4 linked regions of the Pelodiscus sinensis genome follow. The protein of the gene in region 1 interacts with the protein of each later gene in a pairwise test. Links are inferred from orthologs where the notes say so. Each region holds a gene or a part of one and is shown in the gene's direction. Other genes may lie near its edges. The genes, in order: calcium/calmodulin-dependent protein kinase type II subunit beta, ACOT7, CCM2L and RAP2B.

The links.
Region 2: the proteins of calcium/calmodulin-dependent protein kinase type II subunit beta (region 1) and ACOT7 interact in binary tests that used the Homo sapiens proteins (3 or more experiments, as listed by UniProt). The two-hybrid records come from large-scale screens. The link is inferred for Pelodiscus sinensis from reciprocal best matches to the Homo sapiens genes CAMK2B and ACOT7.
Region 3: the proteins of calcium/calmodulin-dependent protein kinase type II subunit beta (region 1) and CCM2L interact in binary tests that used the Homo sapiens proteins (3 or more experiments, as listed by UniProt). The two-hybrid records come from large-scale screens. The link is inferred for Pelodiscus sinensis from reciprocal best matches to the Homo sapiens genes CAMK2B and CCM2L.
Region 4: the proteins of calcium/calmodulin-dependent protein kinase type II subunit beta (region 1) and RAP2B interact in binary tests that used the Homo sapiens proteins (3 or more experiments, as listed by UniProt). The two-hybrid records come from large-scale screens. The link is inferred for Pelodiscus sinensis from reciprocal best matches to the Homo sapiens genes CAMK2B and RAP2B.

What each region holds. Positions count from the first base shown.
Region 1 is NC_134738.1:4,672,335-4,679,584, reverse strand, and holds the start of calcium/calmodulin-dependent protein kinase type II subunit beta, read left to right. Parts: upstream 1-4,238; 5' UTR 4,239-4,398; coding exon 4,399-4,463; intron 4,464-7,250. UniProt on the Homo sapiens protein: Calcium/calmodulin-dependent protein kinase that functions autonomously after Ca(2+)/calmodulin-binding and autophosphorylation, and is involved in dendritic spine and synapse formation, neuronal plasticity and regulation of sarcoplasmic reticulum Ca(2+) transport in skeletal muscle.
Region 2 is NC_134733.1:24,105,453-24,113,357, reverse strand, and holds the start of ACOT7 (cytosolic acyl coenzyme A thioester hydrolase), read left to right. Parts: upstream 1-4,895; 5' UTR 4,896-4,952; coding exon 4,953-5,053; intron 5,054-7,905. UniProt on the Homo sapiens protein: Catalyzes the hydrolysis of acyl-CoAs into free fatty acids and coenzyme A (CoASH), regulating their respective intracellular levels.
Region 3 is NC_134728.1:1,517,885-1,525,862, reverse strand, and holds the start of CCM2L (cerebral cavernous malformations 2 protein-like), read left to right. Parts: upstream 1-4,964; 5' UTR 4,965-5,061; coding exon 5,062-5,100; intron 5,101-6,185; coding exon 6,186-6,353; intron 6,354-7,717; coding exon 7,718-7,801; intron 7,802-7,978.
Region 4 is NC_134720.1:28,159,885-28,167,066, forward strand, and holds the start of RAP2B (ras-related protein Rap-2b), read left to right. Parts: upstream 1-4,181; 5' UTR 4,182-4,770; coding exon 4,771-5,322; 3' UTR 5,323-7,182. UniProt on the Homo sapiens protein: Small GTP-binding protein which cycles between a GDP-bound inactive and a GTP-bound active form. Involved in EGFR and CHRM3 signaling pathways through stimulation of PLCE1.

The sequences.
Region 1 (7,250 bases):
CTGGTCTGACTTCCTCCCCAGGCTGCGACTCATGGGACCGCAGTGCTGACCCAAGCTCTGGGGGTGGACCAGTGCCCAGTGTGGCCGGCCTGGCCAGGACTCCCCACAAACAGAGGCCATCTTGCAGTTAGAGCGCCTGGCCACGGAGCCCCGACGTCTGCACACACCTGTGCTGCAGAGCCAGACCGGCGCTTGCCTGCTGCTTTCTCCCTCCGCTTCCTGGTCTTTTCTTGCCTCGCCTTCCCAGACCCACAAACCCTGCCAGCGTCAGAGCCGGTCAGCCCCCTCGCCGGTGCTTCATTTGTGCCCGGCTGAGCCCTGGCACCTCCGGGCCTGGCGGCTCAGAGCCTGGCACCTCTGGCCTTGCTGTGTCAGTCATGACGTTTTAAAAATTGCTTGAGCTTTGGCCCTTCTTTCATGGCATCTGAAGCGTGACCCCTCTGCCCACATGCGCCTCTGCTTTGGGTGGTGACCTGGCCCTGGGTTGGCTTGGAGGCCCCTGTAGCCCCGATCCTCAGAGGCTCTGAGCAGTGTCTTACAGCCTCTTCGCATAGGGCAGCCATAGGCGGGTTAGACCAAAGCCCGGCCAACCCACCCTTCTGCATGGTCCTGGGGACCCCGAGTGCCTGTGCTGACCCACATCGGTGCAAACGCAAGGAGAGCTGCCGAGGCGCGTTCATAACCCCCAGCTCTCCCTGCACGTTTCCCAGCCGCACGGGGGAGCCCCTGGCCCTCTGGTCCCTGGGCCGGCTCTGAACAGGGTCAGAAGTCACAGCGGCTGGCAGAGGCCGGGAGTTGGGAGCTCCTGCCTCACGCTGCTGCTTGTTTCTGTGCCTGCTCCGGAGCAAGGGCTCCTGCTCTGCACCCGTCCCCCATTCACCGAGAACATCGGCGAGATGCTGCCCGAGGGCGCGCCGGGGTCCTGACGCCACACCTGAGTTTCAGCCACACTGACCTGCCCAGTCAGTGAACGGGGCACTGCCGGTCGGTCTAACCACTAGACCCCACTCCCCTCCCAGAGCCTGCTTCCCAGCCTGGTCCTGCTGCCTAGCCAACAGCTGCATCCTGCCCTCTGGTGGCTGGTCCTGACAGAGGCCCATGTAGGCCTTGTCCGCAAGGGACGGTCGCATCGCCGAACCCAGTGAAGCGACTTGCCTGGGGAGGCTGAGGCAGGATCCCGCCACAGGGAGCCCTGCGTGGCCGCGTGCTGGCGCCAGGCCTTTGGCGTTAAGTCACAGGCGCAGTGAGGCCAGGGCAGTGCTGGAGAGCGCTCCAGGCTCCTGCCGCTGCGGAGGGGAGCGGCCGGACAGCAGGCAGCCCGGCTGCTGATCCCTGGCGGCGGGCGTGAGCGTGAGAGAGCCTGAGCCCGCCCTGCACGCCAGCCCGGAGCGTTAAATCCACTCGAAGGCCCCAGCGCCCCGCACGGCAGGGCACAGGTGTCCTCTGTGTCAGCCACTTAATAGCCATCACAGGGGCCAGGCAGGAGCAGGCTCCGTGGTGCAGCACCTGCCCAGAGTAGTGCAGACCGGCCCAGGGTCAGAGCACACAGAGGCCAGCGGCCAGGCCCTGCTCCGTCCCAAATGGTCAGTTAGCTTCCCTGTGCCTCCGCTTCCCGCTTTCCAGCGCCAGGGGCTTCCCTGCGTTCCGGGGGCAGCGCTGGCGACGAAAAGGGGAGGGAAGAAATTGGCGTTTCCGATTCGTCCGCTAGGCAAGGCGGGTGCTGGGAGGGAGAACACGCCGGTCCGTGGGAATCGTGTGGCTGGAACACTCCAATGGCCTCTCTCCTGTCCGACCCCGGCGGAAGGCGGACAAGCTCCCGGAGAGAAGGCAGCCGGGCCCTGATCTTTAGGCGTTCCCCCCTCCCCCGAGACGCCCCCCGGGACACGGCCCCTGGCGCTGAGTGGCGAGGCTGCCGGGTGGCAAACCGGGAACGTGGCCTCGGAGCCTTTCGGGCGCCCCTCCTGCAGTCGCTGTAAAGCTCCCTTCCTGTGGGCCTGGGCCCCGTCTCAGCCCCTTCCAGCGCCAGGTGGCTGCATGAGACTCCCCTTGCATGTGGAACAAGGCGAGTGTCTCCCTGCGCTGGGGAGAAGAGCTGGCAGACGTGGCCCCTCAGCACCCAGGAGCCCCCCAAAGACCCTCCTGGCTCTGACGCTGGTCTCGCACTGGGGGCTGGCCCCAAAGGGGTGAGGGAGCTGACTGGCTGTGGCTGAGCACAGCTGCTGGGCGAAAGCGCCGCTCCCAGGAGAAGGGAGGGGAGACGGGGGCGTGTGGAGCTCCCAGCTTGGGCTGACATCTGCTCTGCCTGGGGTGGGGCAGGCAGGCCAGTGGCTCTGTCTGCGGAAGTGGATCCTTGGTGTTTACCAGGGGGCTCCCTTCCTGACCCCCTGCAAGGGGAGGTTCAGGGCCCTGGTGCAAAGGGGGCGAAGGAGCACAGGTGGGGCTGAAGGCAGGGACCTGTCTGCCTCTTTGTTAGCCCAGAGGGAGGCGCCTTAGGCTCACCAGGCTGGGTTGTGAACCCCGGGTTGGAGCAAGCCCAGAGAGCCGAGCTAGAGATGAAGAAGCTGCTACACCCAGCCCAGCCATGACCCCTCCTAGAGCTCCATTGCAACTGGCCCCAGCCCCCTGGCGCTCCCTGTCCTGGGTCCTCTCCCCCGTTGCACTGGGCACATTGTGCCCTGGCTCCGTCTCCTGCCCCCCGCTGGCAGGGCGCCCCTTACGCAGCACTGCTCTCAGACGCCCCTGCTCTCCAGCGAGGTGGCAGCAGCACCAGGGCTCTCCGGAGCGGGCTGGCGTGGCACAGGGTTGTGCTGGGCCCGGGCGCCTTGCTGGAGCTGGAGCTGGGGGCGCTGGGTGGCCCGTGGCACCGGCACTGGGTCTGAGTGGGGCTCGTCAGTGCGGCTTGGCCTCACTCCCTGGGTCGCGGGCACAGACATCTCCTAGCCCACAAGGCAGCCTGGCTCCCCCGGCTGCCGCAGGAGCGATGGCAGGAATCCGCCTCCACGCTTGGGGATGTCCGCACTCCTCTCCCCCTCCCCCGCCATTGCCACCCCTGCGCCACGGTTACTGGGTGACAGCGGGCAACTCCCCGCCCCACCAGCTCCGGGCCTCGGTTTGCCCACCCACAGGAGGGGCACAAAGCCGCTGCCCCGTTGGCAAGGCGCCCTGAGATGCCAGTGAGAGTGAGGCAGCTTCCACTGAAACTCAAGTGCAGTTGCCTATGGGCCTCGCACTGCAGCCGTGGCTCTCGCCCGCTCAGTGGGGCACAGAGGGCGCGTCGGCCCCTTTCCGGCCTAGGCGGGTGCAACCCCTGGCCCGAGCTCTGGAACGGCTGGGCTGGGCGGAGCTGGGCGCTCTGGGGGGGTTGCTCTCCAGCTCTCCTGGGGGAGGAGAGGGATGTGGCAGGGGGCGTGGCTTATTTGGGGCGCGTTGTCTCATTTACATATGCCTCTTGCGGTGCCTTTTGGCTGGAGGCCGGACATGCACCTTGCCCGTGGCCCAGAGGCGGGGCGGCTGGGCGCTGGGGGCGGGTGTTGAGGGGCAGTTCGCCGCCCTGGGGAGCCCGTCCCCGGGCCGCCCTTGTCTCCCTTGCTGGTGCCCCATTGCCAGGCCATGCGCCGTGACCCGGTGAGCCCCCCTCCGGCAGGGCCTGGGTGGCACCTGGGGGTGCGGCGTGATGGGCGCCCACCCCTCTGTACTGAGCATTGCTGGCCCTTCCGTGCCCAGCCCGGTGGCTCTGGACGGGGCGAGGGCCTGGCATGGCAGAGGGGGTGGGGGGAGGCCAGGAGGGGCTGTGTCCACGGTGCCACCTCCTTAGCAAAGGTCCTGGCCCCTTGGCAGACCCCTGCCCCCGCCTGGGGCGGGCCCTGTCATTTCTGCCTGGCTGGCCACAATAAGGAACAGACGGGTCAGGCAAAACCCAGCCCATTCACCAGCTCCTCCCAACCTGCCCCCTCCCTGGCCAAGTGCCAAACGCCAAGGGGGGGAGGGAGCTGTCATCTTGGAGCGGGGCTCTGGGGCTGGCACGTAGGGGGCGGCGGGACCCTCGGGGGGGGGGTGCTCCGGGCCTGGGGGGCTCTTCGCATGGCCAGTTCCTTGCCTCCAAGGATGTGGGGCTGGCACCACCCCATGGCCCGGGTGCAGGGCGGCGCTGGGGGCAGTGGCCCTCCCTTGGCTGCGGGGTCCCCCCCGCGGGGTGCGGGGCGGGGGGCTGGTGCCCTTCCCCCGGCGGGGCGCGTGTGTGCGGGGCGGGGGGGGTCGCCGGGAGCCGGAGCCGCTCGCAGAGCGCCTCGGAGCGCAGCGGGCTGGGTGGCTCCTGCCCCCGCCCCTGCCAGCCCCTCCCTCCCCCGCTGCCAGGCGGAGCCGGAGCCCAGCTCAGTGCGGAGCGAAGCGGCAGCCGCGATGGCAACCACCGTGACCTGCACCCGCTTCACCGACGAGTACCAGCTGTACGAGGAAATTGGCAAGTAAGGAGCCGCGGCAGCGCCAGGGCGCACGGGGCCGGGGCGCGCGGGCCGGGGGGCTGCGCCCTGCGGGGCCGGGGTCACCCTCCCTTGCGGGCTTGGTGGGAGGAGCCGGAGGCTGCCCCCGGGTGCGGGGCACGGGGCGGCTTCCCGGGCGCGGAGGGGGCGCCCCACGGGGGCGGCTGGACGATGGGCGGGTGCCCCCCGCCGGGGGTTCCCCTGGCCCGGACCGCTGCTCTGGCTGCCCCCCCCCCCAGCCTGCCCCTTGCTATGTGCCGGGCTGCGCGGCAGACCGGGGGGCAGGGGCCCGGGCTCGCTTGCCCGCCTGGGCTCGCAGCCGTGACGCACGTTGCGGGAGGAATGGGAACCATCTGGAGAATGGCACCAGCCCTCCAGCGGGTCCTTGTGCCAGAAACCCGAGATCCCCCGCCCCGGGCTCGCCGCGTATTTATAGGCTCTTGCAGCCGCCGGTATTTTTAGGCAGCGGCTCCGGCCGGGCTCCCCCTTCCCCCACTGCGGTGGTTTTTCTGCCCGGCTCGGCGCAGCCCCGGGAACCGCCACCCCCCCGCCCCGCTCCTCAGTTGCATTTGGAAGCGCCCCCCCCCCCCCCGCTGATTTTTGGCTGGGGGGCTCTTGGTGATGCCCCGGGCCGGGGGAGGCTCCGCTCACCCTGGCACCCTGCCCCAGGCTGGCAGCGCTCCCCCCCCCCCGCCTACAGGTTGCTACTGCCCGGCTGGGCTGCCCCGCCTGTGCGCTCGGCCCGCGTCCTCGGCTCTCGTGCGCGGGGGAGCCCGGCTCGTCGGGGCGCAGCTCCGGGGATGCTCCCCCCGCCCCTCCCCTCCCCTCGGCGGCTGCTTCCATGTCCCCCCCGCCCCCCGGCTGCCGGAAGCGACGCGTCTTTCGGGGGGTCCCTTCGGGCGGCCTGGGTCTGGGAGCGGGGGCGCTCGGCGCTGGCCCGGACGCGGGGCCTCCGGGGTCTCCAGCTGAGCCGCGGATGCGGGGCGCCCCCGAAAACAGCCAATCCCGAGCAACCGGGGGGGGGGGGCTAAACTGCGGCTCCGGCAGCCCCCCCCCCCCCCCCCCCCGCCTGCCGGCTTCCCCGGGCACCGGCTCGCGGCCCCTTCCCTGCTTCTGCCGCTTGGGCTGCGGGGCGAGGCCTCTTGGCTCGGGGCCGGGCCGGGCCACGGCGCGACCTGCGCGTGGGGGGGGGGACGTGACCCCTCCCGGGGGTTCCCGCCCCGCTGCAGCCCGGCCGCTGGGTTTCCCCGCTCTCGGAGGCCCGGGCTGGCTGGGGAAGGGCTGGCCCGGGGGCTGCGTGTGTCGGGTCCCGGGGGTCTCGCTGCGCGCGGCTGGCGGGTTCCACTCCCCCGGAGTCCGCGCGTGGCCCGGAGAAAGGCTCGTCCATGCGGCTCAGGGCAGAGCCGACCCGCCCACGCCAGGCCGTGTCGGTTTCCAGGGGCGCCACCTCCCCCCGGAGCTCGGGCTGGTCCCTGCCCCGCGGGCCCCCCCCAGCAGGGATCCACTGGGCTGCCCCGCCCGGGGGCAGGGAACGTGACGAGCCTCGGGGTTTCAGCCAGCCCCCGAACTGGCCCAGGAGGGGAGGGAGACACCTCCATGCCCCTTAGGCTGCCCTGAGAGCAAACGACCGCCCCCCGTAGCCATCCAACGTATGGGGAAACTGAGGCACGCCAGGTTCCCAGAAGTACTGCCGCAAACTCCCACTTTGGCCCCGCGTGGCCAGTCGTGAGGTCGAAGCCGTGGGTGGGGGCTGCCTCCTGGGAATAGATCAGCAGTAGCTGCCAGGCTCCTGGGGGGGGGGGGCGAGGGGCTGGGCCCAGGCTGCTGGGGGATGGCTCAGCTCAGGGTTCCCTGGGGTCAGTGGAGCAGGACTTCCTTGGGGAGGTGCCTATGTCCCGCCCCCTGGGGTGGTGTCTCCCCGGGAGCCTGCTCCCTGGCCGCCCGGTGCACTGGGCTTTGAGCCCTTTCCTGGGCCACGGGCGGAGCTGCTCCTGCAGGAAGGCCTGTGGCACGGAGGGAGCCAGGGGCCTGGGCTGTTGGGTAGCCCCCAGGCCCCTGCCCCGAGGCAGCTCACCCAGTAAATCCCCATGGCCCCTCCCCCGCTGTCTCGCCGGCTGCGGAGCCGAGTGGAAATCGCTGAATAGACGGGGGTGACTTCCAGGAACCAGGCGCTGGGCAGGAGGGAGGGGCTGGAAGCCGCCAGGCTGCTGGGTCCTCTGCTTGGTCCAGGCCAGGGGCTTGGCTCCTGGGATGGGCCCTGTCCGCCTGCAGCCCTGCTCTGTGGAGGTGGGAACGGGCACTGCCAGGGTGGTGCAGAGCAGAAGCTGGGCTGGCCGGGGGCGCTCACGGGACCAGCGGCTCTGAGCCAGGCACACGGCAAGAGGCGGCCATTCGCTGCGCTCGCCACCCGCTTCACAGATGGGGAAACTGAGGCCAGGAGCAGGGAAATGACAGACCCAGGAGGCTGGTGGCAGGACCAGTCCCCAGCTCCGTGGAGTCCCAGCTGAGTTGCTCTAGGCACTAGGCCACACTGCCTTTCTGGCATGGAGGGGGCTGGGGCAGCTGCACCCAGCTGGCCTCTTGGGCCCTTGTGGCGACGGCTCACACTGCCCCCCAGAAACCGAGGTGTGAGAAGGTCTGTGGCAATGCCCGGGAGGTGCCCATGGAGAGGGGGTGCGGCGCTGCCAGCTGAGTGCCCCATCACGTCAATGGGCAGGCGCAAGGCCAGGTATGGTGAGGACAGACAGGCTCAGCATGGGTGCAGCAGAACCA
Region 2 (7,905 bases), on another chromosome or scaffold:
CAGAAAATCCTTGCAGATAATTCTAACTTTAAAGCATTTGGCTGGATGCCTACTCTGCCCCTCGCTGCCAGGGAGATAAATGGCGAAATCTCTCTCTTCCCTCCCTCCCCATAAATGTCCAATATTTGTAGTTGCTGATTTGAGTTCTGTCGTCTAGCTTCTGAAGAATCCCTCCAGCCCGGGCGCTTTGTATTCTCAAGATCGTGGATGAGAGCCAGATATATTCACCTCTGAATACGAGGCCGGCCCGGTGAGCTTGGAGTGCTCTGCACGCAGTCTTGTGGTAACTCGTAGGCAGGTAGAGGCTCGGCTGAGCCACAGAATTCTGCAGGACTTCTGTGCGTGTGTTTCTTGGACTGAAATAGTCACTGGTCTCCTGCGAGAATGCTGCGGGTGTGGCTCTCTGTATGTACCCTTCAGAGAGGAGTGCGACTTCTGCATGGTATCGTGGAGCCCAGACGGTGAGTGGGAGATGAGGGGCCAGGTACTGTTTGACGTGGCTCCTGCTAGCTCAGGTGGGATGAGAGCTCCCTTCGTGGATGCCTGGCGGAGGCGTGGAGGAGAGGATGCGGAGGCGTCCGTCTCTGGCTTTAACATAGCCAGCGACATCCAGGCCAGTGAGGTCTGGTCTTGTGACTGGGTGCATGTGAAATGGGACTGTACATTTGTGTGTGGCTATCAAATGGCAGCTGAAGTTGGACGGTGGCAAGCGGAGACTGGCTGGCGGCTTGTACAGGGTGTACAGCTTTCTTGGTGGCTACGAAGTGGCTGAGGAGCGGGATTGAAACTGCTGGGCTGAAGAGCGAGAGGTGCAGGCAGCTGCCCTCGGAGTTCGTGCAGCCGGCTGAGCGCGGTGTTTTACCAGCCGAGCAGCTGGCCTCTCCCCGAGGAGGTGGGATTGTGGAGGCTTTGTTTTCCCCATTGCGTTTAGCAGTAGGGTCACCGTCCTGGCCTGCTCTAAGGATGCGGGGCGGAGAGGGGGTGCTAACCAGTGAGATTAGGGGGTAATTTCCTGAGGGGTGTGGCTAGACTTGGGAGTGAAATGGAGTCTCTTGAATACATTCCAAACAGGTGTACTGCTCTGCTCCGTCCTTCTGACCTCCAGCCTAAGTCTGCCTGTGTCCAGGGCAGCCAGTCTGCACAAGCCTCACAGCAGAAGAGCTGGCTGTGGGCTGCGTGAGGCACAGTTCGACACAGGCAAAGCCCAGTGCGATCCGGTGACTTTCTCAACTTAGCCGGCCCCAGCAGACTGGCGAGTCTCGGGCGGCGCTAGGAAGGTCTTGAGCTCTTTGGTTAAAGCCGGGATGTGGTGCAGGGCCTAGGCCAGACTCCCTAAGGGGATCCAGCTGCCCATGACGCAGCGTTCCCTGGCATCTGGCTCATTCCATGTGGAGAAGGACTGGAGGGCAGGTGCATGCGCTGAGATGCTGGAGAAACCCCTTGTCCGCGGGGGCATTTCTGCTGGGGCTTAGGTCAGCTGGACAGCCCCCCAGGGTATGTCTACACTATCACCCTAGTTTGAACTAGGGTGGTTAATGTAGTCATACGAACTTGCAAATGAAGCCCGCGATTTGAATTTGATTTGCATGTTGCCAGGCGCCGCCAGGAAGCCTATTCCGAACTAGCTAGTTCGTGCTGCGTGTAGCCGCGGGCACGGAGTCCGCACTAGAGGACATTTAAAAATGGCGGCGCCTGGCAACATGCAAATGAAGCCCGGGAAATTCAAATCCCGGGCTTCATTTGCAAGTTCGTATGACTGCATAGGATCATAGAATAATAGGACTGGAAGGGACCTCGAGAGGTCATCGAGTCCAGCCCCCCGCCCTCAAGGCAGGACCAAGCTCCGTCTACACCATCCCTGACAGATGTCTATCTAACCTGTTCTTAAATATCTCCAGAGAGGGAGATTCCACCACCCCCCTTGGCAATTTATTCCAATATTTGACCACCCTGACAGTTAGGAATTTTTTCCTAATGTCCAATCTAAACTTCCCTTGCTGCACTTTAAGCCCATTACTCCTTGTCCTGTCCTCAGAAACCAAGAGGAACAAATTTTCTCCTTCCTCCTTGTGACACCCTGTGACGGCGCGTTGGGGGTCCCCCGTCTCCTGCACCCCGAAATGGCACAAACAGACTGCACCAGCCGGTGGAGTAGAGGAAGTTTATTGCCTCTCCACGATACAGCACAGCACAGATGTCATCTGATCACAGAGCTGGGCTAGGATGCCTCAGGCCCCCTTGAGATGGGGGAGACTGGGCCCCTAAACTCCAGCCCCTTTCCCTAGGCTCTCCTCCAGGCTCTCAGACAGCAACTCACTAACCCTCTTCCAGCCCTGCCCCCCAGCCAGGGCAGCATTCCCCCTTCCTTTGTTCCTCTCTATGGGGGGTGGCTGGCCATACTCATTTGCATAGTGACTCATCCTGTTTTGCTGGGTCGTGGTACCCACGGCAGCCAGTGGGGTTACCCCAGAGCCAGCAGCATAGAAACCAGCCAGGTACCCCCACTACGTCACACACCCTTTTAGATATTTGAAAACCGCTATCATGTCCCCCCTTAATCTTCTTTTTTCCAAACTAAACAAGCCCAGTTCATGAAGCCTGACTTCATAGGTCATGTTCTCTAAACCTTTAATCTATCTTGTCGCTTTTCTCTGTACCCTTTCCAATTTCTCCACATCTTTCTTGAAATGTGGCGCCCAGAACTGGACACAGCACTCCAGCTGAGGCCTAACTAGTGCAGAGTAGAGCGGCAGAATGACTTCACGAGTTTTGCTTACAACACACCTGTTGATACAACCTAGAATCATATTTGCTTTTTTTGCAACAGCATCACACTGTTGACTCATATTCAACTTGTGGTCCACTATGACCCCTAGATCCCTTTCCGCCATGCTCCTTCCTAGACAGTCGCTTCCCATCTTGTATGTATGGAACTGATTGTTCCTTCCTAAGTGGAGCACTTTGCATTTCTCTATTAAACCTCATCCTGTTTACCTCTGACCATTTCTCTAACTTGCTAAGGTCATTTTGAATTATGTCCCTATCCTCCAAAGAAGTTGCAACCCCACCCAGTTTGGTATCATCTGCAAACTTAATAAGCGTACTCTCTATTCCAATATCTACATCATTGATGAAGATATTGAACAGTACGGGTCCCAAAACAGACCCTTGCGGAACTCCACTTGTTATCCCTTTCCAGCAGGATTTAGCACCGTTAACAACAACTCTCTGACTACGGTTATCCATCCAATTATGCACCCACCTTATCGTGGCCCGATCTAAGTTATATTTGCCTAGTTTATCAATAAGAATATCATGCGAGACCGTATCAAATGCCTTACTAAAGTCTAGGTATATGACATCCACCGCTTCTCCCTTATCCACAAGGCTCGTTATCCTATCAAAGAAAGCTATCAGATTAGTTTGGTATGACTTGTTCTTCACAAACCCATGCTGGCTATTCCCTATCACTTTATTACCTTCCAAGTGTTTGCATATGATTTCCTTAATTACCTGCTCCATTATCTTCCCGGGGACAGACGTTAAACTGACCGGTCTGTCACCCTAGCTCGAACTAGGGTGGTAGTGTAGACATACCCCCACGGAACACAGGCTCAGGCCTCGTGGCTTGCGTTTGGCCTCTTGTCGTTCACGGGTACGTGAGCCCGCCCTCAGCCTGTGAAGGCCGGAGCTCTGCCACGCAAGTGCAGGTGTGGCTGCCGCTTTGTTGGCAGGAGCGTTTTCCTGCCAGGGGGAGTGTTGCCAGCGTGCATGCCGTGGACCGTGCACGTGCCGGCTTTTAGCAGCGGGTCAGTGTCGGCGCAGGCTTGCGGTTGAATGCTCGTAGCACGCACGTACGCATGGCAAGGTGCGCCTGACCCCTGCTGTGGAAGTCTCCTCCCAGCCTTGCTGCAGCCTCCCCAGGGCTGGCTGCCTTCCAGCAGCAGGAAAACCCCGGGCATGGGTGGAGGGCATAAGCAGCAGAGCTGCTGTGCCCCTCGGGGCTCCTAGTGCAGACGTAGCCTCGGGTGTGACTCACGCCCGGGAGCAGTGGGGCTGGGGTTCGGCTTGCCCGCGAAGGCGTAGTGTGGCGTGGCGTGCTGTCCTCCAGCTAGAATTGACAGGCAGGAGGAAGTGTTAAGGGCTTCCTGTCGGCCTTCGCTGGCTCTAGCTCCGCTGCCTTTGCCAGCTAGGCACGACCTTAGCGCTAACAAACGTTGACTGGTCAGTCGGTCGGGTGCCAAGGGAAATGAGCCTCTGCGAAAAGCCCGTCTCGTACTTCCATGCCCCTCCGGACGTCCCTCCCAAGCGGTCACAGGGATCCAGAGGGCGAGTGTAGGGACGTTCACTGGTGGCCGAGGGACTGACCCTCAGCGAGGGGACAGCGAGCGAGTGAAAGGAACCCTGTTCTTTCCTCCTCGCTCCTCTGTCTTGCAAGGGTCTGACGCCGTGAGCACCGAGCATCTGCCTTGATGGGAGTGGCAGGAGCTCTGCACCAGGCTGGGCAGGGTGAGGAGGGGTGAGCGTGTCGTGGAGGCTGGGCATTTGCTGCTTCCAGGCACAGGTAGCTCCCCACGCAGCCAGGGCCTGAACTTGTGGAACCCTTCCAACCCTCGAAGAGATGAGGGTCCCACGGGCCAGGGCAGAGGGCTTGGACTGGGGCCAGGTGCGGTGGCCCCGTTTGCGTTTCCTGGGCGTGCAGGGGTCAGCGGGGGTCGGTGCTGGGCCCGGCTGCGGGGAGTCAGTGCAGCCGAGAGCTCTGGGGAGCGCCCAGCTTTGGGCAGCGACTCCTTGTGTAACTGTGGGGCAGGATGATTCCTAGGACAGCTAGTTTTAAGTGAGTCATGCGGATTGGCTGAGGGCCCATCTTCCTGTGTTGGATGGGACAGCACAGGAAGCTGCTCAACTCGTAAGTTGGCGTGTGGCTGAGTTGGAGCAGCAGCAGCCGTGTGATGCAAACCGTGAATGAGTGCAGCCCTGTGCCTGCTCCGGCTGCAGCACGCACATTCGCCGGCTCCGGGGCGTCCGCCAGCATGGCCTGCGAGCTTGTCCGGTAGGTGTGCGGCGCTTCTCGTGTGTCCGAATTCTGCCGCGTAACGGGCAGCTCATGTCAGGCCACAGCGGGCGTCTCCCAGGGAAGGAGGGTAGAAAGTAGTGCACGCAGCTGGGGCCGGGCTGGCTGCATGGAGGAGGAAGCTGTCTGTCTGCAGCAGCCTCTCTAGCCCGTGTGGCAGTAGCGGGTGTGTGTGGGGCGGGGGGGCTCCATGTCTCACCAGAGCTGGCCTGCGCCCCCAATACAGCAGGTTTTGTGACCCGGAAACATTTGTGGGTTTGACACTTTCCCCAATGGTTTGGCTGAAGGGTGTGATGGGGGTTGATTCGCAAGGGGTTGGCTGCCATGCCCACTACAGCCCGAGGGCAGGAGGCGGTGGTGCCTTATCCCAGCCGTGAGCCCGGGGGCAGGGCAGTGTTCCGCTAGGATTACCCGCCCATCAGTGGGGCTAGCTTAGTTTTGTGCCCAGTATTGAGTCTGTGGGTGCTTGTTCGGGTGCGCGCCACAAGTTATTAATAAGAGCTTATAAACCTCTCCCTTTTCCCTCTGCTGCCATGTCTCCTCCCCTCCCTTCCCCTCGCCCCTGCTGCCCCCCACCCTCCTCTGCTGTCCTGCCTCGGGCCCTTCTCGCTCCCCTCAGCCCTTCGGGGACCCCCGCCCCATCCTCCTTGACCCCTGCAACAGCCCTTCTCTTCCCCCGTGCCCACTCCTCCCCTAGCCCCACTCTGCTCATCTGCAGCTACACTCCCCATCCCCTCCCTCTGCCCACCTGCCCTGCCTCTCTCCTCCGGGGCAGTTTGCGGGGGCTGGAGCCTGGGGCCGGGACTGCAGTACTAAAAATAGCACCACGGCCCCAAAGCCCCCGCAGCCCTGGCCCCAGCTGCTCCCGGGGTGGGACCGCGTGCCAGGACCAGAGCAGAGGCCGCCCACAGTGCTGTTGATGCTACTGTGGCCCCGAGCTGCCCCGGCTCCATTTGGAGTGAAGCGGCAGCCACACGAGGCCCATTCCCGGTGGGGCAGCCTCCCTGTAACAACCTCACCTCACACCCCCGGCTCCAGGCGGAGCAAAAGGGCAGCCACCCGCCGCCAGGAACCCGTCAGGCCACTGGCTGCCGCTGCACCCGCCGTCTGTTCCCGTGGGAAGGGGAGCGGTGAGTGGTGGTGGCTCTTGAAGGCCGTGAGCGGACCTAAAATTGTCAGTGCGCAGGCGCGCAGCTTAGAGGGACACCGGAGTAGGGCCCTGCCCCCGGTTAGAACACTCCTCGCAAAAGGGATTGGGGTGCAGACACGCCCACCAGGCTGTACTGGACATTCCCGGGGGTGGGGAGGTGCGCATATAAAACATAAGAACGGCCGGACTGGATCAGACCAAAGGTCCATCTAGCCCAGTATCCTGTCTGCCGACAGTGGCCAGCACCAGGTGCCCCAGAGAGGGTGGACCGAAGACAATGATCAAGCGATTTGTCTCCTGCCATCTCTCTCCAGCCTCTGACAAACAGAGGCCAAGGACACCATTCCTACCCCCTGGCTAATAGCCTTTTATGGACCTAACCTCCATGAATTTATCCAGCTTCTCTTTAAACTGTATTATAGTCCTAGCCTTCACAGCCTCCTCTGGCAAGGAGTTCCACAGGTTGACAACATGCTGTGTGAAGAAGAACTTTCTTTTATTAGTTTTAAACCTGCTCCCCATTAATTTCGTTTGGTGTCCTCTAGTTCTTCTATTTAGGGAACTAATAAATAACTTTTCTTTATCAGCCCTCTCCACACCACTCATGATTTTATAGACCTCTATCATATCCCCCCTCAGTCTCCTCTTTTCTAAACTGAAAAGTCCCAGTCGCTTTAACCTCTCCTCATATGGGACCTGTTCCAAACCGCTAATCATTTTAGTTGCCCTTTTCTGAACCCTTTCCAAGGCCAAAATACCTTTTTTGAGGCGAGGAGACCACATCTGTACACAGTATTCAAGATGTGGGCGTACCATAGTTTTATACAGGGGCAGTAAGATGTTCTGGGTCTTATTTTCTATCCCTTTCCTAATAATTCCTAGCATCCTATTTGCCTTTTTGACCGCCGCTGCACACTGTGTGGAAGTTTTCAGAGAACTGTCCACGATAACTCCAAGATCTCTTTCCTGATTTGTCGTAGCCAAATTAGCCCCCATCATACTGTACGTATAGTTGGGGTTATTTTTCCCGATGTGCATTACTTTACACTTATCCACATTACATTTCATTTGCCATTTTGTTGCCCAATCACTCAGTTTGGTGAGATCTTCTTGGAGTCCCTCACAGTCTGCTTCTGTCTTGACTTTCCTAAACAGTTTGGTATCATCCGCAAACTTTACTACCTCACTGCTTACCCCTTTCCCCAGATCATTTATGAATAAGTTGAACAGGACTGGTCCCAGGACTGACCCTTGGGGGACACCACTAGTTACCCCTCTCCAATCTGAACATTTACCATTTATTCCTACCCTTTGTTTCCTGTCTTTTAACCTAAAAACTGGACTAGTCGTTGGGCTAATGAGGGGCTGGTGCTTTGGACCTGGGTCTTCACGTCCCAGGTGAGTGCCCCGCCCGCTGAGACCCCACCCCTCCTCCTCTGGGAAGCAAGTCCGTTCCAAGACCCAAAAGAGGAGATGTCAGCTCAGCTGCTGGCTTTGCTGGACCCAGATTTTCTGACACGCACAACATTCCCCAAAGATTTGAATTTGGTTTGACCTGAATTTTTGCAATGGCCAGTAACGAGCAGACTCGGCTGTGCACCCTGCTGCCCTGCTCTTGGCCTGCCCTGGGATCCAAGACTTGCAAGCCTCTTGCGCTTCCTTTAAACTCTTGGACTTGTCC
Region 3 (7,978 bases), on another chromosome or scaffold:
GGCTTGGCCACGCTCCCTGCCGGCGGGTAGGTCTCGCCCGAGGTGGCTGGCGCGTGGTGCGGAATCCCCCAATCTGTGGGCTGGGGCCTCGTCCCACCGAGCTGGCAGGTGGCTAGGACAAAGGACACAGTCCTCTGGGACGGGCTGCTGGCAGCGAGCCGGAGGTGGTCGCTGGCGCCGTGGCCCAGGGCGGGGCTGGGGGCTCTGCCGGGCGGGTTTCGCTGTGCACCGAGCCATGGGCGGGTTCCTCGGCAGGAGCCGTCTCGGAGCAAGGGCTGGGAAAGGGATAACAGGGCCAGTTTTCTATGCACTCTAGCCACGGTCTCCACGCCCTCTCCCGGCTCTGGGGAGAGGGCCGATGCGCCCGAGCCGCTGCAATAACCTCCCAGCAGCTCGGCAGCTGGACCCCTGCAGCCGCGGGGTGGGCGAGGGGCGGATGGGGAGGCGGACCCGGGAGTCTTGCTGGTGAAGGGCACTCAGGAGGGGAATCCCTGAGCCCATGAGGCTCAGCCCACACGATCCCTCCGGAGGGGCCTCGAGCGCCTCACTCCTGCCGGACGGTTGCCAGGGAGAACAGGGCCCGGCCCAGCCGCACTGTCTCTCAGGCAGGCAGTCCCTGGCTAGTGTCGGGGGGGACTTGGTAGTCCGGCCCCCAAAAACAAGCCCATTCCCTGCTATCGTCATGGGACTCATAATAGGGCTGAAAAAAGGCCCCAAGGGAGCGGGAAAGCTGCCCACAGCCGCTGGGTGTTACGTTCCCCTCAGAAGGTGCCGGGCACATGCACCGCTGCGCCCCACACGCCACCCTGACCATAGCAACGCCGGAACGGGCCCTTCCCGGGGGGGGCGAGGCGGGGGCCATCTTGAAATCAGGAGCCAGAGGCGGATTTTGACCCGGCTCCCCTCAAAAACATCCCAAACCATGATTTTGGTCCAGCCAAAGGGACAAAAAAGTGAGCCCAGGGCCAGGTTCAGCGCCTGCCCCCTGCGGTAAGGACGGGGGGCTCAGCCCTAGGGCTGGGTTCTCCCTACTGCACGAGAGACGGGTGCCGGGGCAGGGCCGCTCGCCCCCAGCACCTTGCGCGGAGCTGTTGGTGTCTCCCCTCGCCCTCCCGTCCGGCAGCCGGGAGCACTTCCGTCGTGTACTGTAAATACTGCGTGTGCCACCTTCTCCTTCCTTCCCTTCCGCGGGAGGCAGGCTGGGCCGGGGCGGGGGGAACGCGACCGAGGTTCTGTACTAAGACTTTTTTGTATTCCACAAACTTTTTGTATATTTTTAATTTTGCTGCGACATGAGATAATTAAATTCCTTTCAATACACGCTGCCTGCAGGCCTCTCCTTGCTCTGCCCTCGTGCGCCACGAGGCGTGTCCCAGCCTGGGGGAGGTGGGGGGGGGGGGGGGTGAGGCAGCAGGCTTCATGGGGCTGGAGAGAACCAGCTACCAAGGGACCTTCTAGCCATACCCGCAGCTGCCTTGTGGTAGAGCAGCGGCCAGGTTACTGCCCGCCATAGCTAGGAGCTGGTCTCTGTGATGTAGTGGGGGGTGCTGTCCATTCGGGCATTCGCTGGTCACTATGCTTGGGCTGTGGGTGACCCCTACTGGCCTGCGTCTGTAAGCACTGCCCAGCGGGGGTCGCCCTGAGGACCCTCAGGTCACGTAGTCCATGGCCCAACCCGTTCTTACCTGCCCAGGGAAGGGGTCTGAACAAAGGAAGAGTGTGGCCAGGAGAAGGGGCAGTCATGAAGAGAAGAGACTAAGCGGAGTGCGGGGGGTTCAGGGGCCTGTGGACCCCTCCCCACGGGGTCTAGGGCTGCCAGCCCCTGACTCCTTATGTCCACACCACGTCTACACTGTGCTGTGTCCTGGAGAAGCAATAAACCCTTCTCTGTTCTACTGGCTAGCGCAGTCTCATCTTGCTGCAGACAGGGTGCAGGATCGGGGGGTACCCGACGCGCCGCCAGTCTCCCATGGGGCAGAGTAGTCACAGCTGGTGGCAGTCAGAGCTGAGACTTTGCCTCACTTGTTTGTGGCTGAGCTGGGGGTGGCCCATGGCCAGAGGACGGGGAGCCAGGAGTCCAGGACTTCCTGGGTTCTGTTTCCAGCTCTGCCCCTAACTTCGGGAAGCTGCCTCAGTTTCCCCAGTGGCAAAATGGAGATAATGGCTCTGCTGCCCTTCCCAAGGGGAGCCACTATGTCAGTGAGGCGGGAGACACGCTGCAGGGAGGGAGCAGCATACGAGCATGTTGGTGTGATCCCCCTCCCCCAGAGCTGGGAGAGGGCAGGACACGTGCTTCTGAAAACATCCCCTCGATGTGCAGCAGCAGGCAAAAAAGCCAACAGAATGCTGGGAATCATTCAAAAAGGGAGCAAGAATAAGACAGAGACCCGCCCATTGCCTCTGTCTGAATCCAGCGTCCGCCCCCATCTTGAATCCTGCCGTGAGACAGTGTCGGGACATCGCCGGTCGCGAGGCTTGGGCTGTGGGTGACCCCTACTGGCCTGTGTCTGTGAGCACGGCCCAGTCGGGGGTCGCCTGAGGAACCTCAGGGCACGTAGTCAGTGACCCAACCGGTTCATACCTGTCGAGGGACGGGGCTTGTGATGGCGCGTCGGGTCCCCCTGATCCTGCATCACCGTAGCAGCAAGAACAGACTTGGCCGAACCGAGGGGTTATTGCTTCTCCAGGGTACAGCACAGACGTGACGTGGCTACAGGAGTCAGGGCCAGGATGCCGCAGACCCCTTGAGATGGGTCCTTGGGCCCCTAGATCCCAGCCCCCTCCTTAGTCTGTCCCCTTCATGGTTCCAGCCAGAAACTGACCCTTCCCCCAACACTCACTTCCTTTGTTCCATCCCTTCCTAGAACTGGTCCAGTCACTGTCATGGGGGCCCTCAAGGCGCCCCCGCTGGGCCGTGCTCACAGACACAGGCCGGTAGGGGTCACCTACAGTCCACAGCCCAAGCACAGCAACCAGCAAGGTAGGGACACTACGTCACAGGGCTGAACAAAGGAAGGGGCAGGTTTGGAGAAGAGTCAGTTTGGCTGGGGCAAACATGGAGAGAAGAGACTAAGCCAAGCGCTGGGAGTCCAGGGGCCTAGGCACCCCTACCCCAAGGGGTCTGAGGCTGCCTGGCCCTGACTCCTGTAACCACATCACATCTACGCTGTGCTGTATTCTATTCTACTGGCTGCCGGAGTCCCATCTTGTAGCAGATGGGGTGCAGGATCGGGGGGTCCCAGACATACCGGCACACCTGCGTGCAGATGTGGTCGCTCTATCTCAAAAAAGATCTCTTGGCATTGGGAAAGGTTCAGAAAAGGGCAACAAACATGATGAGGGGTTTGGAGCAGGTGCTATATCATATGAAGAGAGATTAAACAGTCTGGGGCTTTTCAGCTTGCAAAAGAGGAGACTAAGGGGGGACAGGATAGAGGTCTATAAGATCAAGACATGCATGGAGAAAGTGAAGAAGGAAAAATCAGTTACTTGTTCTCATAAGAACTAGGGGGTCACTAAATGATATGAATAGGTAGCAGGTTTAAAACCAACCCAAGGAAGTTTTTCTTCACACAAGGCACAGTCAACCTGTGGAACTCCTTGCCAGAGGATGTTGTGAAGACCAGGACTTGAGGGGCTGGCTATGTAGCCTCACTGGGTGGTCCTGGGTGATTCCCAGTGGGGGGAACTGCAGGACACAGCCGCCCAGGCTGGGCTTGGGAAGGATGCGCCGCACATGGCACATGGCGGGGGACCGACTTTCCACTGCCGGAGGGCACCTCGCAGGAAATGGAGCCGCCCAGGGGCTGGCCAGGCTGTGGGGACGCAGGGCGTGCGTTAGCACAGGCCGAGGGGCAGGGTCGGCCCGGACAGCAACGGGCCCGCCCCAGGGAAGGGACTGGCCCCGGGAGAGCGGTGCCGACTCTGGGGAAAGTCCCTGGCTGGCATCGAGTGGCCTTCACCCGGGGGCCCGTGTGCAGGAGAAATCACGGAACGTAGCAGCCTCGTGAGGCGCCTGACGCCAGCGATGCCCCAGCTCTTGCAGCGCCTGAAGGTCTGTCCCCTTCCTGCCCACAGGCTGGCGAGGGAAGAGGACATGTCTGCAGCTGCTGGGGCAGGGGCCGGGGCAGGGGGGAGGCGGGGACCATCCCTTCTGGCCAGGTGTCTCTCTCCCGCACTCCACGGCGTGGGCCAAGCCCGCTCCGAGCTCCCCGCAGTTCAGGGGTGGCGGGTTGGGCCTCCCATCAGCGTTCCCTGCTCACCAGCTGGGGTCCCTTGTGGGTGCGGATTTGGAGCCCTGCTGGTAGTTTCTGAATCCCCCAGGGTCTTGGTGCAGCCCCCACCATGGGCAGCATTTCAGCTCCCCGGCTCTCGGCTCTGCTCCGGGTCCCGCCTTGCCCGACAGTGGCAGTGCTTGGCTCCGGTTTGCTCGGGCAGGAGACCCAGGGGAGCCTTCGAAGACGGCGCTGGCAGAACCACCGCGCTCTCCCAGTTGGGTTATTAAAATTCGGTGGCCCGACCGCGCAAGGAGGCCAACAGCCCCCTTCCCGGGGCCGAGCGAGGGCCGGCATCTGTGTGTGATGGAGCCAGCGTGTGTGAGCAGGACAGACAGGCAGACGGCAGCAGCGCCCAGAGACACGGTGGGCTAGGGGCTGGGGCAGGTGCGAGCCCCTTAGGGGCGAGTGTTGCCCCGGGCGGGGGGGTGAGCAAGCTGGTTTTGGCAGGGCAGGCCCAGCAGCCCCTGCGCCCCGTCTGTCGGCCAGCGCCCAGCTCTCCGAGCCCTGTTCCCGCCCTGGAGGGGCAGGAACTCCACAAGGTCACGTCGGAGCCGGGGCTGGTGGAGTTTCCGACACAGGAAAAAAACAAAGGACTCGCCCGGAGCGGAAAGAGCTGCCTGGTCCGTGACAGGAGCGGAGCAGGGACAGGACATGGAGTACGAGGCCAAGAAGGGGAAGAAGGTACGTACCCGCCGAGCTGGCATTTCTCACAGGATGGCTCTGCGGGGCGGTGGGCCCTGGCGGGGCACAGTGCAGGGCACCGAGTCTTGCCCGGGGGGGAACAATGGCCCACGTGCCCCCCCTAGGCAGCGTGGAGGAGCAGGTACGTGGGAATTTTACAGAGCTGGCCGTACAGGGGAGAATGGCAGCCACTGGGGTAAGGGGAGCCCTGTGGCCAGCCGTGCTGCTGCCACTGGGATATGGGGAGCCCTGTGGCCAGCCGTGCTGCTGCTACCGGGATATGGGGAGCCCCATGGCCAACCGAGCTCCTGCCACTGGGGTATGGGGAGCCCCGTGGCCGCCGTGCTCCTGCCACCTGGATCCAGGGAGCCCCGTGGCCAGCCAAGCTCCTGCCACCGGGATATGGGGAGCCCCGTGGCCAGCCGAGCTCCTGCCACCGGGATCCAAGAAGCCCATGGCCAGCCGTGCTGCCACTGGTGTGGCTGGGGAGCTGGGAGCTGCATGCAGGACCCTGGGGGCTGAGCTGTCTCTCGTGGATGGCGAATTGCTCTGCCCTGCTCTGCCCTGCCCGGCCCATGGGATAAGATGGTGCAGATGAGGCTCTCTGGCCAGCTAAGGGCTTTCCCTTCAGGGGCTCTGTGCAGAGGGGAATACGCAGCCTGCCCCTTGGGTCTCTTACTCCCCTTTGCCCCTGCCACTGACCTGGGGCCGAGGCTTGGCCGGGTTTTTCCGCGAGGCAGCGGGCAGCCATCCAGCCTTCTGAGCTTGGCCCAGGAAGCACCCAGCTCCATCCTTGAGTCCTCCCTTCAGAGCAGCCCTGCCATTTCCTCCCTCCCCGGGGGCTGGACCTGGGGGGCTGTTCAGCCCCAGCCCACCCACAGGAAGGGCACCCCCAAGCCGCTCCCTCCAAACCCGCTGCCCCACCTGTTCTACGCTGGGCAGGCGCCTTGGGCCCAGGGCCTGGGTTCACTGGATTTGTTTCCATGGCGCCATCGGGGCCGACTCCTGAGGGAGCTCGCTCTGTCTCTTGGGAAAGATCCCCCCTCAGCATTTCCAATGGCCCCTTTACTGTACATGGGATCACCCCCGGGGGTGGGGGGGCGGCTTCCTCTCATTGGGGTTTGCTGTCGAACCCAGCGCCTGAGAGTCATGTTTGTACACGGCCAACGCCAGCCCCTCTGGGGCTGGGGACGAGGTGCCGGCTTCTCACCCGTCCTCTGTTCTCAGGGGTTTGTGTCGCCCATCAAGCGGCTCGTTTTCCCCAAGGCGGCTCGCAGGCCGGCGATCAGGAGCAGCGTCTACCGGCGGCCTCTGCATTCGGTCCCTCTCTACCCCCCCGACTACCTCATAGACCCCCAGATCCTGCTGCATGACTACGTGGAGAAGGAGGTGAAGGTACACAGGGGCAGCCCAGCCGCTCAGGGGCCGTCCCCGACGCTCAGAGCGGGGCCCAGAGGCCTGCCAGGGGTCCCTGTTGCCATGCTCCAGGGTGGGGGCTCACCTCTGGCTGGGGCACGGGGTGCCTGGCCTGCCCCAGGTGTGTGGGAATTGCCCCCGGTGATGTGGAGTGAGGAGACAGGCCAAACTGGGCTGAGCCGTGTCTGCCACAAACACACCTGGCCCCTGGCTCTTCCCTCGGTCCCTGGCCTCTCCGGGGCTTGGCAAATGCCCAGTTCCCAGGTCACCGGGCCCGCGAACGCCCGGGGGAGGCTGCGCTGAGGGGAGCTATTTGAGCTGTGAAGTGACCAAAAGTTTCAGCTTCAGAGCCACGTGCCCGGCAGGGCCCTTTGGCAAGAGCAGGCTGGGCCCCAGGAGCCGGGAACCCTCCTGCAGCGGCCGCCCCCTCGTCTCATGGGCTCCCCTGGACACCCCCTCCCTCGGCCAGGATCAGCGCCCACCCCCTGTGCTTGTTTGAGGGGGAAGCACATGTTGCGGCCACGGGTTCCCCCTTCACTCGGAGACCCGGGGCGGGACTCAGAGAGGAGACCCCTCCCCTTGTGTCCTGCAGGGGTATAGGAATGTGCCCCATGCTGGGCAGTGCACCCCACACGGACCCGCAATGGGGGCTTGAGGGGCCCTGTACGCGCTCTAGCTGCCCCTGCGGGGTGAGCAGGCAGGAGACCCAGCTGGGGAAGCAGTTGGGGATGGGGGGCAGAGAGGGGATCCCACTAGGGAAAGACTCGGCAGACCCTCTCTGGGAAGAGAGCAGGGAGTCCCGGCGGAAAAAAGCCCCTGCAGAGAGGTGGGGAGGGGAAGAGCAGACCCCGTGACAAGAACGAGGGATCACCAAATGAAATGAATAGGTATCAGGTTTAAAACGAACAAAAGGAAGTTTTTCTTCACACGCGCACTGTCAACCTGTGGAACTCCTTGCCAGAGGATGTTGTGAAGACCAGGACTTGAACAGGGTTCAAAAAAGAACTAGATAAATTCATGGAGGTTCGGTCCATCAATGGTGATTAGCCAGGATGGGCAGGGATGGTGTCCCTCGCCTCTGTTTGCCAGACCCCTGAGGAAGGGGGAGACCCCAGATGGGGGGGCTGGGTTAGGCCCAGAAGGACAATGTGGGAGCCAGACTTGGCAAAGCGCAGGAGGGGGATCTGGCAGAAGCCAGCGGGGGTGGGGGGCGTACTGGGACAGCGACTCTGCCACCGGCTGCCTTCCAGGGTGGGGAGGGGAGCCGCCCCGTCTTGTCCCGGATGCTGCGTCGACGGCGCCTGGTGTCGGGCCCCTGGCGCCTCAGGCTCGTCTCTCTTCAGTTCTTAGGCCACCTGACCTGGGTGACGTCCTCCTTGAACCCCTCCAGCCGGGATGAGCTGCTGCAGCTGCTGGACACGGCCCGGGTAAGGGAGGGAGCCGCCTCCACTCAGCCCCTGTGCTCCGAGGGCCGGCGCCACTGCCCCAGGCTGCAGGGAGCGGACGGGCAGCCTGGCTCAGGCGGCTTTGGTGTGGAGAGGGCTGGCGAAGGGCTTCATGAGGAGGGAAGGGAGGGGCGGGGGGGGCCGCCCTCCCAGCCACGC
Region 4 (7,182 bases), on another chromosome or scaffold:
AATAATAATAATAACTTTACATTTGTTCCCTCATCAATTCTGCATTTTCTCAGGCCATCCAATCTTTTTTATAAGATTATGAATCATGTGGTTCACTAAGACATCTTAGATGAATTGTAATATAAACCAATTATATCAGCCCCAAAAGCAGGCTGCTTTTCAGACAGTAGAAAGTGAAGCAATACGTTAATATACTCTTGAGGTGTTTTTGGATGAAAGATGTTCTATAAATGTAAGATTTATCACTATTAATATTACTTTACAACTCACAGAACCTGAATGTCACAATATGACATTTAGTATTACTTATAGCTCCAAAATTAAATTATGAGTGAAACTTCTTAGTACATGGGAAAGAGCTTGTGATCTCAGATTGGGCTGTTTCACGTACATCTTGAGAGCTCACTTTATAGTTAAAAATAGGACTTAAATGGATATTCACTAACAAAAGGAAGAGACATTCTGAATGAAGTTTCTTATCCTATTTTACATGTGTATATTGTATCTCTGATAGGGTCAGATCTAGTAGAGGTCATGGAGGCTCAGGGTCAGGTTCAATCAGCTCACAGACATTTACCTCCCCCTCTCATCCCCCTTCTGTTCTGAAATTTGATTTGTCTTTTCATATGTGTTCATTTTTTTTGATTGTATCCTTTGGTATATATGGTTGTGCCAATTTTCTTCCACTATTTGATCTGAGGAAGTGGGTCTGGCCCACAAAAGCTCATCACCTAATAAACCATCTTGTTAGTCTTTAAAGTGCTACATAGTCCTGTTTTTTGTTTCAGCTACACCAGACTAACACGGCTACATTTCTATCACTATTGTACTTGCCAGTGTTCTGAGTTTATTTTCAAGAGATGTATGTGTACTTCAAGAAATTGCCCAGTGTCACAAACTGAACAATAAACCCGTAGGGATGCTAATGAATAGTTGACTAGACGATTAACCCCAGCTGACCCCAGGCTCCATGCGGCATTTCAAAGTGGCAGCACTGCATGGAGCCTGGGGTCAGCTGGGGAGTCCCACTGCCACTTTGAAGAACCCCCTTCTCTTTCCCTCCACCCCTACCCGCTGCATCTTTCTGATAGAGGCAGCAATGGGGGAGAGCGACTAGTCAACTAGCATGTTGACTCTCTGATAAGCATTTGCATCCGATAAGTCATTCACATCCCTAGCGCTGGGAGGAGCCAGCTTAAAGGTCGTTTCCCCCCAGCACCAACTCTGCAATGCTGCCTGTCCTCCTCACCCCAATACACACACACTGCTTCTTCTATCAGAGGCAGCAGTGGGGGTGGGGAGAAGCAGGGGAATCTGAGTGAAGTAGCCTGTGTCCATGGGTGGCGGTCTGAGCTCCCCATGGACAGTAGCTGCTCTGCATCTCCCAGAGCAGCTTCTGTTCACAGCAAGCCTGGGCCTGTCGTGGGCAGAGGCTGCTCCGCATTCCACTCTGAAGGAGACCCTGTTTGCGGCAGACAAATTGTATCAACTATATGATTAGCTTGGTAACCGCAATTTAACATCCCTAGTGCATGGTTAATATTTTATATGTATTATTACATCCCTACTACCGGCAAAAGAGAGCTCTTCTTACCTATCACTACCACCATGCTGAGAAAGCTGTCATTCTATTTCCTTCATCTCCTGCCCCCAACTGTCCTCCACGCATGCCTCAGCCTCACTCCTGTCTCCCTCCCCAGTACTCTGATCCACTTACCCCATCCAGCTTTCACAGGCTCCTGCTCCTCCTCTCAGTCTCTGAGTCCAAGCCAATTCCCTGAACCACAGAGTGGCAGCTATTTTCTCTGTGGGCCTGGCTTTAATTTAATCGAAAACAGTGGGAGGTGGCAGCCAACTGTATTAAGGATAGTATCACTTCCACATGCAGACTACAAGGAAACAGTGGCCATCTTGATGGCTAAGGACCTTTTGACAATAATAGGAGCCAAACATTCTGAATATGGTCTGAAATAAATATAATGAAATTCAATTAGGACAAATACAAAGTACTCAAGTTATCAAGGAATAATCAGTTGCACACATACAAAATGGGAAATGACTGTCTAAGAAGGAATTCAGCAGAAAGAAATCTAGGGGTTATAGTGGACCATCAGCTAAATATGAGTCAACAGTGTGATGTTACGGGGGGGGGGGGGGGAGGAAGCAACCATCATTCTGGGATTTATTAACCAGGAGTGTTGCAAGCAAGACACAATAAGTAATTCTTCCACTCTACTCTGGGCTGATTAGGCCTTAACTAGACTACTCCAGTTTTAGGTGCCACATTTCAGGAAAGATATGGACAAATTGGAGAAGGTCCAGAGAAGAGCAACAAAACATTATTAAAGATCTAAAAAACATGACCTATGAGGGAAGATTGAAATAACGGGGATTGTTTAGTCTGGAAAAGAGAAGACTGACAGGGGACATGATAATAGCTTACAAGTATCTAAAAGGTTGTTACAAGGAGGAGGGAGAAAAATATTTGTATTAACCTCTGATAGGACAAGAAGCAGTGGGCTTAAACTGCAGCAAGGGAGGTTTAGAATGGACACTAGGAAAAACTTGTCAGGGTGGTTAAACACTGGAATAAATTGCCTGGAAGGTTGTGGGAACTCCATTATTGGAAATTTCTAAGAGCATGTTAAACAAACACCTATTAGGGATGGTCTAGATTAGGGATGTGAAAGACTAGTCAACTATTCGATAAGCAAATGCAACAAACTTGTCAACTGGTCTTTCTGATAGAGGCAGCAAAGGAGGGAAAGCAAGAGGTCCTTCAAAGCAGCAGCCCCACGTGGAGCCTGGGACCAGAACCTGGGCTCCATGCAGCACTGCCACTTTGAAACGCCGCTGTGGGAGCCCAGAGTCAGACTCTTTGCGGCGTTTCAAAGAGGCAGTGCCACGTCCCCAGCTGATCCCAGGCTTCGCGTCCCCAATGCCAGGTCCCCAGCTGAACCTAGGCTCCGCATGGTGCTGCCACTTTTCAGCGCCATAGAGTGCCTGATTCTGGGCTCCTGCATCAGCATTTCAAAGTGGCAGTGCCACAAGGAGCCTGGGGTCAGCTGGGGACTCGATCCTGGACTCCACATGGCGCTTTTGCTTTTAATGTGTAGCAATAACCCTAGAGCTGTTTCTACACTTCAAAGGTGGAGACAACCTACCAAGTAGTTGAATAGTCTATGCAAAATGCATCCACTATTTGATTAGTCAATTACCGGCAATTTAACATCCCTAGTCTAGATGTGCTTGTCCTGCCATGAGCACAGGTTACACATCTACTCGATAGTCCCCCGGGGTGACTATCTGATAAAGAGACTAGGCTTAATTACTTCTTATGGTTCTTTCCAGTTCTATAATGCTATGATAGAATTATTATGATCTGTATCAGAGGTAGCAGCACAGGTGGGGGGAAGAGATGAGCTGGTGTGCATAGGGAGCTGTGTTTTAGGCAGGTACCCAAATACATATGGAAAGGAAGGCGAGAGGTCCTCGGGGGGCAAATTTAGACTGCTAGGTAAGAGAGTGAAGACCAGGACCTCTATGGCAGCTTTCTGTGAAATGTTTCCATTTTGATGCACAGGGCCAGCTGGAGAGGGAGGATTGCAGGGTCTCAATGAGTGTGACCATGCTGTAAAGAGTAGCGTGGCCCCCTATGGACAGAGGCTGCTGCCACCCTGCATTGCTGCCTCCCTATCAGAGGCAGCAGTGCAGGGCGGCAGGCAGCCTGTCTGCAAGGGGCGCTGGTTTTTAAAGTCATATGCTGTTAACTCTGATAGAGAGGCAGCAGCACAGGATGGCAGGAGACTCCCCAGGAGTGGGGCTGGAAGCTCTGTGGCCATCCCCTAGGACTATGGAGTAGCGATGTAACCGTAAGATGTGGTGCGGTGACCGCACTGTTCCGTTACACCGTTCTAGCATCCCTAGCACCCCTCCCGTCTCCTGCCTTATCCAGCCCTGGGGCTAAACGGGAGCTAAGGGGAGTTTATCCCGCCGCAGCTCCTGCCCTTTGCAAAGTATCCGCCAAAAGTCGCTGACAGGCGGGCCGAGTGACAGACAGCGGCCGGCCGGCCAATCATCCGCCTCCCTCTGGCCACCCAATGGCGGACGGGCTCAAACCTCTGAGTCAATGAGGCAGCGCGGCCTGACGGGCTCCTCGCGGCGGCCAATCCCGCGGGCGGGCGGGGGCGCGTGTGCCTGTGTGGTCCCCCTCCCCCTCCCGAAACCAAGGGCGGGGGAGGGAGAGGGTGGCGTTTAGCGCGAGCCAATGGGTCCGGGCGGGCTGTGAGCGAGGCCGCGGGGAAGGGATGGCCCGTGGCGGCGCGAGGCGGCACCGCGGGACTGCCGCACCACGCGCTGGCTGCCGGGGGGCGATGAGCCCTCGCGCGCTCCTCCCCCGCCCCGCCGGCAGCTGCCGCCTCCCCGCCTGCCAGGGCTGCTGAGCTCGGGCACGGCGCCTGCCTGGCAGAGGGGCTCGCGCTGCCCTCGCGTTGCGCCGGGGCTCGGCCGCGGCTGCCTGGCCCGGGAGGCTGGGCGCTGCCCTTGCCGCGCCAAGGGGGCTGGCGCTGCCCGGGCGCTCGCCGCTGCTGCCGCCTCTCCCCTCCCGTCTCCTCCCCCCTCCCCCTGCCGCCTGCCGGCTGCATGCTCACTCCGCTCCAGTGAGAGCCGCGGCGGGGCGGCTTCTCTCCCCTCCCTCCTTCCCCGCTGCCTGGAGGTGGGAGGGAGAGACGAGACCCAGAGAGGAAGGAGCTGGGTGTGCGGAGCGGAGCCATGCGAGAATACAAAGTGGTGGTGCTGGGCTCGGGCGGGGTGGGCAAATCCGCCCTCACCGTGCAGTTCGTGACGGGCTCCTTCATCGAGAAGTATGACCCCACCATCGAAGATTTCTACCGCAAGGAGATCGAGGTGGATTCCTCCCCCTCGGTGCTGGAGATCCTGGACACCGCCGGCACTGAGCAGTTCGCCTCCATGCGGGACCTCTATATCAAGAACGGGCAAGGGTTCATCCTGGTCTACAGCCTGGTCAACCAGCAGAGCTTCCAGGACATCAAGCCTATGCGGGATCAGATCATCCGGGTGAAGAGGTACGAAAAGGTGCCCATGATCCTGGTGGGCAACAAGGTGGACTTGGAGGGCGAGAGGGAGGTGTCGTATGGGGAAGGCAAAGCTCTGGCTGAGGAGTGGAGCTGCCCCTTCATGGAAACTTCAGCCAAAAACAAAGCTTCAGTGGACGAACTGTTTGCAGAGATTGTCAGGCAGATGAACTACGCTTCCCAGCCCAACGGGGACGATCAGTGCTGCTCGTCCTGCGTGATCCTCTGAAAGGGCTTGGGGGGGCCGTGTCGTTCGCAAAGGTTTACAACAAAAAGCAGCAGCAATGTGATCGTTCGAAACAAAGATTGGAAACAACTTTGCATACACAAGGATTCCAGGCGGCAGCAGCAGCAGCTGCTGCTGCGGCAGTGATCAGTGTCATGGGGTGGGTGTATTGTTGGAAACGTGGCTTTTTCAGCATGTACATTTCATCTATTTTGATTGTTGCATATTTCCCGTAAGTACAGATTGCTGTATTGGCATCTGACACCAGTAAGAAAAGTTTCGTCCTGGAGAAAGGGGAGTTTTGTTAGCAATTGTTTTCTAACTGGAAGAGTTAAATTACACCTAAGGAACTGAGGGGAACAGTAAACGAAGAACCATTGCAGAGGGGGGAAGAAATCTTTCCGAGGACGTTTAGGAAATAAGATTGGTTCTCTCTCTTCTTTAGCCAACCTTGAATGCACCCTGTGACTATGATATTGATTCTGAGGATTTCTATGCAAAGTTGGATTATTGTTACAGCGTATCCAATCTGAAGTATTGCACATTTGAACTGGGACTTGAAAACACTGATGCCAATACAGTGTGGGGTGCCAGAACGTGTCTGCTGATCATTTGTGAAACTTTATATTTTGTTTACCTGCTGTATCTGATGGGACTTTGGGGGAGAGCGGTAGTATTTTTTTTTATCAGCTGTGAAAATGTTACAAATCTGCACAATATTTTTTTAGTTGTGTTTTCTTTTATTCAGGGGGGAGGGAGGTTTGTGGTGGTGGTGGTGGTTTGTTTTCCTTATTTTTGGGTTGGCAATAACTGATTTTGATTAGCTCTCTAAAGTACAAAGACTTCCTAAATGTGATACAGGGCCAACAGCAACCCTGTGTCTGTAGAGTGCCTTCAAAACTCAGCTGTTCCAGCCGGTGCCAACCTGTGAAAGCTCCACAGAATCCCATTATCTACTACTCCAGAAACTACTTAACAGCTTCCTTTGAGTAATCATACTGAACAAGCCAGGACAAAAAGGCCTATTGTTTAGTGGAATTTATTTCTTATTTCCATGTGAGCCTTTTAAATGTCATTTCCACATCTTCCAAATTTGGACTGCATTTAATTCAAATTTACAGGCATTTAGTTTTTTGGGACAATTTCTTTTGTTTTGGTTCTCTGATGTAGGATGTACCTCCAGCCAGCCAAGAGAGAAATCTTAATGTTGTGATGTATCAAGAACATTCTAACAACTGTAACTTTAATTCCAGACATGCGTTTAATGTCTACCCATTTTAAGACTTTTAATACAAATGTTTTGGGTTTTTAAAAAAAACAAAACAGCAAAACTGTGGTTTTTTTTTTAAATGTATTGTAAGGAAAACTAACTTTAATATGCGATCATGGCAGAAGTATGCTTTTTTTAATCGTGATATTTGTTTAACCAAAAGAACAGGATATTAATAATGGGGGATGGTTACCTAAAATCATGAAGCTAGGGAATGTTTCTATTGTATCTGTTGGTAATGTTGCAAACAGTCGAATAATTATATTTAGGCACTGGTGCCATGAGATGCTGTATTCTACACTTATCTAAATGCTTGCTGAAGTCATTTGGGCTCTATGCAGAACAGCTTGCAGTATTGGAACCTGTTTTGTAACTTTAAGAATTAACATGGTTTATTTGAGCGTAAGTGTTGAAGGTCAGCTATTCTATTCATAAACTTAAAGACCTTACTGATTTTACTGAAAAGATACAGCTTTGAAAATTCTGCATTAAGATTGACTCTTTATTATTTTAAATGCAACTTGCAAAAGAGGGGGAAAAATGGGCTTGTCTATTTTTTTCCCTCGCCTCATTGATTTTTTTTTTTTAAATAT